Kluyveromyces lactis: one gene and its partner. The protein of the gene in region 1 binds, or shares a complex with, the protein of each later gene. Links are inferred from orthologs where the notes say so. Each region holds a gene or a part of one and is shown on either strand. Other genes may lie near its edges.

Region 1 (3,434 bases):
GCTTTACCAGTCATATAGCGAGCGTAATCTTTCTCCCATTGAGAATCACTTGTTTCCAAATTATTATCAGCCGTCTCCGCTTGTAACTTATCCCAGACTTCTTGGAAGTCTGCTTGATATCCATCCTCCACTACTATCTCCTCCTTGGTTTCCTCTTTATTGTCCTCCATGGTCAAATTTTCAGCCACAGCCTTCTCCAAGGCTTCAAACTGCTCATTCCACTGCTTGTCAGCGAGAACACCATCATCACTGGACATTTGCGGTGTTTGCTGAGACATGTGAGAATAATTATGTAATGAAGAAATACCTGTATGCATCATCGGCCTCCCGATCCGGGACATGCCAGGCCTGTATGAACTCATAGAATTTGTGTTGCTTATTCTTTCAACATTATTGACTCTGCTGGCTAAACCCTGTTGAGGAGATCTGCTATTAAATTCATTACCCCAGCTCCTGGAATGCTGAGCTGTATCGCCTGCTGACATATTACTGCTTCCACTATCTTGTTTCTTTAGTCCAAAACGAGGACCATGCGAAAGAATAGCACTAGGAACAGGCGCCATTCCCAACTGACCATCAGAAAAACCAGGTGACCTGTTCATAAACTGGTCCATTTGAAAACGATTTGCATTGGATACTTCATTCACATGAGTTTTGAAGTTTTGAGCAACATTACTGGCCGGATTTTGATACCCCACTTGTCTCAGAGCAGGATTCTGCTGGGCATGTTTATTCAACTGCGCGAGAGGATTTGATCCAACGGAACAATCTGCACTCATAATTGTATTATGTCAAATGAGATGGGATATTTTCTTGTTTTTAAACTCTACCACCTCCCTTGATGAGCTCCCTTAGTCTATGCTTAGTAAACCCTTTTAGCTCCCTTGATGATTGATAATAAAGCTACTAGCTCAAACAAATGAACACAATGACAAGTTCTGCGTAGAAAGTATGTAGATTTGATATGTTGATGAATCCAGTTATATATGAATTCAACCTTGGCAATGTCATGAAAGTGTTCGGTTAGTTTGTTTAAATCATGATTCATCAATCTCTGGAGTTTTTCAAAGCTCCAGAGATTGATTGAGATTATCGCCATGATTTTTCGGAACAGGTTTGGGGCGATGTTATTACCCGGACATATACCGTATTAGGTTATTCGTGGCGACAATATCAGAAACTGTGCCTTTAAGTTCTTTAAGCTTTAAGACGGTGGAGCTCATCTCATTTCTCAAAGGTATTGCAATATTACACGATTGTAAAGATGGGTAGAAAGTATCACACTTTACCATGCTAAGGCCCGTCAGTATTGATGACTTAATATCAGACACAGTTCCTGCGAAGAAACCTCGGTTTCTGATCAAGAAACGAACATTTCCACAACCAGAAGAAGAAGAAGCGTCAAAGGCATTGTCACACACCGTTATCAAGAGGAAAGATAATTATAGGAATCTCGACGAAGACGAACTATACGAGGAACAAGTATCTAATGAACCAGATGATTTACTATTCCTAGCAAGAAAATCCGCCGACCTTTTGAAGAAACGACAAAATGAAGATGAAAGTATTGTCGACAATTACTTGGGGAAGCATTGGTCTGAAAAGAAATATGAAGAGATGAGCACTAGGGATTGGAGGATTCTATCTGAAGACTTTAATATCTCGAGTAAAGGTGGAACAGTAGAGAAACCTCTAAGAAACTGGCACGAATTAAAGTTAATTCCGGAAGATTTGTTAAACATTATTACAAATGATTTGCACTACAACGAGCCAACATCCATTCAGCGCAGTACAATACCGAATGTTATAAACAATAGAGACTTCATTGGTGTTGCTAGTACTGGTTCTGGTAAGACACTTGCATTTTTGCTTCCAATTCTTATAAAACTTCACGGTATACCGCCACTTAATTCAATTACTAAACATGATGGTCCTTTGGCATTAGTATTAGCACCAACAAGAGAATTGGCACAGCAAATACAACATGAGGGGCAATCAATTACGAAACTATGGAAACGACCTTGCAATATCGTAAGTATTGTTGGTGGACATTCCTTGGAAGAAATTTCAGCAAACCTAAGAGATGGATGTGATATATTGGTTGCTACACCCGGAAGGTTACTTGATTGTCTAGATTCTCATCTTTTATTTTTAAAGCAAGTAAATACGTTAGTGTTGGATGAAGCGGACAAGATGATAGATTTCGGTTTTGAAGATCAGTTGACTACAATTTTAGCAAAGACAGAAACAATTTCCAATAGACAAACAATGATGTTTACGGCTACATTCTCACCTACCATAGAAAAAGTTGCTAATGGCTATTTGAAAAAGCCAAGCTATGTCACGGTTGGAGGAGAAGAATCTAAACCAAAAATTAAACAAATAGTACGGTATGTTCCAGATGAAGAAGAAAAACTTAAGATACTTGTAAAAGATTTCCTACCAAATTACAAGGCTCCTATCATAATATTCATAAATTACAAAAGAACAGCTGACTGGTTATTCGACAAACTTAGAGAGGCTCGGTTCCGAGCAACAACTCTTCACGGCTCAAAATCACAGGAACAACGTGAACACTCTTTAAGTCTTTTGAGAAATGGGAAAGTAGATATTCTCATAGCTACTGATGTCGCTGGAAGAGGTATCGATATACCTAACGTTTCTTTAGTAGTGAATCTACAATTTCCTAAGTCGTTTGACAGCTTTGTGCATCGTGTAGGTAGAACTGGACGTGCTGGTAAAACTGGTACTGCACTTACTTTTCTAACCGAGGAGGAAGATCATTCTGCCATGGCTAAATTGTTCGATTATGTCAAAAAGAACGACTTCACCGGAGAAAATTACATCTCAAAAGAAGCTATGTCGAAATACAATGTTGACAAATCTTCATACAAACCAATTATTATATGAAAGGACTAGACTTTTTTCCTTGAAATTTTAGAGTCATGCAATATGAATTAGAGTATTTAACGTAAATAGTTACAGTGTGCTAGCTAATAATGCATTTAGGATTCCAGGTCAATCCTGGAAATACCCAATGGTCTGACGATTCATGCGTTCTTGTTTGAGCCTGTGCCTTGTCTTCCATTTTTTCGGATGTCTGATTCAAAATTATCGTGTTTTTTGATGAAGGCCAAACCGTAGACTGACGAAGTTCAAGTAAGTGAACTCGACAAAACAACTTCGACATAATTTGAAAACCAGGCATTGATAGCTTTTATATTCATTTCAAATATTTGCAATGTCAGTAAAACAAATCTGAAATCCGCTAGATGTTGTTCATGACGGCAACCAGTAATCCAAAATATACCTAATCTGGAAAAGTCAATGTGTCACATGACTTCACGAAATCTAGTCTTCATCAGATGAATATTGGGTTACCAAAGGTAAAACCGACGATGGTTTTGAAACTGTTATATTTGCAGCAACGTTGG
Region 2 (3,092 bases), on another chromosome or scaffold:
TAACATCTTTTACTAAAGCTTTTATCTACAGTAAAGCAAAATGGGTATTTCTCGTGATTCTCGTCACAAAAGAGCTGCTACCGGTGCTAAACGTGCTCAATTCAGAAAGAAGAGAAAGTTCGAATTAGGCCGTCAAGCTGCCAACACCAAGATCGGTACTAAGAGAATTCATCCTGTTAGAACCAGAGGTGGTAACCAGAAGTTCAGAGCTTTGAGAATTGAAACTGGTAACTTCTCCTGGGCTTCCGAAGGTGTCGCTAGAAAGACCAGAATCACTGGTGTCGTCTACCATCCATCCAACAATGAATTGGTTAGAACTAACACTTTGACCAAGGCAGCTATCGTTCAAATCGATGCTACCCCATTCAGACAATGGTACGAATCTCACTACGGTCAATCTTTGGGTAAGAAGAAGAACACTAAGGCTGAAGAAGAAACCGCCACCACCTCTAAGAACACTGAAAGAAAGTGGGCTGCCAGAGCTGCTGAAGCTAAGATCGAACACGCCGTTGACTCTCAATTCGGTGCTGGTAGATTGTACGCTGCTATCTCTTCCAGACCAGGTCAATCCGGTAGATGTGATGGTTACATTTTGGAAGGTGAAGAATTGGCCTTCTACTTGAGAAGATTGACTGCTAAGAAATAAGTCAACTCCTTCGCAAATTAACATATACGCCAATTTATCAAAACTCCTTATTAACCGTTATTATCACAGCCAAAGGTTCTTTTGGTCATTTTATATCTTTACAAATGTATAAAATATAATAAGTCATAGTATTTTTACTTATAACTTTCTCAGTTTCAGTACCATCAGTACTTATGCAAGGTAGTTAAAACTCTGGCTCCGATTACTAGCTCAAGATGTCCATCTCAAAAGCGTGTATCTACAGAATGTTGAGAAAACGATTGTTATGGAATAATGTACGAACAGTAGACAAGATGTATGTTATGTGATATAATGATCAGAAAAAAAGGCAAAAGTGTTTATCTGCATGATTCAAAAAAGAGAATTCAGTACAGGTCTGTGTAAAATTTGTTTCATCACGTTAAAATAAAATGAAAAGCATAAAAGGCCATAACAGAGTGTCACAGCCCCACTGTTCCTCTGAACAGTGTGTTTGTCGTTAGATTCACCGGACATTGATTGGGTTAATGAATGAAAGTGAGGTTATAGAGACGAAGACCATATTCTCTTCTAAACGTGAGTCGAGCAGTTTATAAATATTATGAAAGCAATTTCTTTCAGTTTTTTTTTATACTTCGAACTGGTGAAAAACTGTTGATACTTTTATACTCATGGATCATGTATGACGATGCAGGTTGTTGGCTTTAGCGCAGAGCTTCATAAAGCATTAGGGCACGCCATAAGGTGCAATCTATGGAACATGAATATCTAGTTTATATGTCTACTCTGATAATCAGATCTTTCGGTCCGTGTTAGTGCTTCCCATATTCGACGTAAATCCCATCTCTTTTGTAGTCATAGGCTTGGATTCTCGGCACGACACAATATGAATATCTTTCTAGATAACGTACCTGTTGGTACTACAATAGGCATTGATTTGAACCATTTCCAATTACCAGCTTCACAACCGTTCCATGGATTCAAACATATACCGAAACATGAGGGGAACACCGTTCATATCTTACATTTCCAACGAGATGAGAGTGGGATAAGATACGGGTACTGGATTAACTCAGATCGTCAAAAGTTCATCAACTTCCAATTCGATCCAATCAGGGAAATAATGGTACCTCAATTGGAAATTGACAACAACTCTGCTGTAAATAAGTTCGATAACTGCCAACATTTGATGGTAGAATACCCAAGCAATGAGTATTCCGAGGAATGGCAAGAATTAGTGAAATATATCCGCTGGAAGGAAGTTAGACTATGGTGCGAAAGCGAATTCAACAGCGAGTCATATGTATACGTAGATTCCTCAATGACCAGCATGGAAGAAGCCAACATGCTTCAGAAAAGGGTTGGTGATGTTAGACACAATATGATATTGGCACCAACAGATGAGATCACGTTTCGATATACTCCAATTCGATTCAAGGACCCTGAATCGATGAGGCCCGAATTCAAGATGCAAGACTTTCTCGATAAATCGTGGTATCTAATGCAAGTGATACTAATAAAATATCATTACTCAAATTTGAAATCATTATTCGGAGAACTACAATTCAGTTACTTGAACAGCATATTGTTCGCCAACTATGGATCCAGTTTACAATGGCATAACATAATTGAACTAGTCTGCTTCAGCGATTGCCTTACAGAAGGAAAGTATAAAGAGATTATGGAACAATTGGATAGTTTGTTATGCACGCAGATGAAGAGAATACCGGAAGAATATCGAGAATTTCTCATCAACATAGAACTTTTGCAAAAATGTGTCAGGCGCAGTAAAGTGCCATTACCATCTTGGAAGACGTTAATCCAGGAACAATTCCTCAATGAGACGTATATTGAAGAAGAAGATCAAGACCACGAAGGTAGCTACAACGAAGATGACAACGAAGACGAAAACGAATATGCACCAGCGATAGCATCCCAGGTGGTATACACTAGCAGATAACAACCACAAGGGAAAAACCAATCACGTGACAGCTACTTACGAATCTATATTTTCAGAACCTGCCAGAGGGGACTAGAAAAAACCCGCAAGCGAAGGAGCAAATGCCACAAAGTCACGTGACTAATTGCTACTCCGGATAAAAATTTTGACGCACAATGCGGATCAAGCTTTAGTCCTCGCTTAGACAGGTTAGGACAGGACATGACATGGAAGGAAATTCACTCAACAGAATATCAGACAGCGCCCGAATGGTCTGACCTGAACCGTGTAGTACCCAGCCTAGCTCCCAACACTATCATTACGTATCGAATCACACAGAAGAGAACCTGAAAAGAAAAGTGGTGCTTTTGTGGTGGATCGTTATGGAACATCTGCAATTTGCAAAGTGCAGAAAATAGGGAAAAAGAAAACTAAAATAGAATTTTAGGAAGCTTCTCGGTCTTTCTAAGGGCGAAAAGTAAGATAATTGTGCGATGAGCTGGGATTATTATAGAACGAGACCGAGAA

What was found.
Region 2: PRP28 (region 1) and AAR2 share a complex: the UniProt entries of both Saccharomyces cerevisiae proteins name them as parts of the U5 snRNP complex. The link is inferred for Kluyveromyces lactis from reciprocal best matches to the Saccharomyces cerevisiae genes PRP28 and AAR2.

Annotation. Positions count from the first base shown.
Region 1 is NC_006039.1:1,338,915-1,342,348, reverse strand, and holds PRP28 (mRNA splicing protein PRP28), read left to right. Parts: upstream 1-1,290; coding exon 1,291-2,910; downstream 2,911-3,434. Other genes in the region: PEX5 (Pex5p), read right to left, coding at 1-779; active spliceosome conformation promoter CWC2, read right to left, coding at 3,352-3,434. UniProt on the Saccharomyces cerevisiae protein: ATP-dependent RNA helicase involved in mRNA splicing. May destabilize the U1/5'-splice site duplex to permit an effective competition for the 5'-splice site by the U6 snRNA, resulting in the switch between U1 and U6 at the 5'-splice site.
Region 2 is NC_006041.1:1,818,938-1,822,029, forward strand, and holds AAR2 (U5 snRNP complex subunit AAR2), read left to right. Parts: upstream 1-1,511; coding exon 1,512-2,585; downstream 2,586-3,092. Other genes in the region: RPS8A (40S ribosomal protein eS8), read left to right, coding at 41-646. UniProt on the Saccharomyces cerevisiae protein: Component of the U5 snRNP complex that is required for spliceosome assembly and for pre-mRNA splicing. Involved in splicing pre-mRNA of the A1 cistron and other genes that are important for cell growth.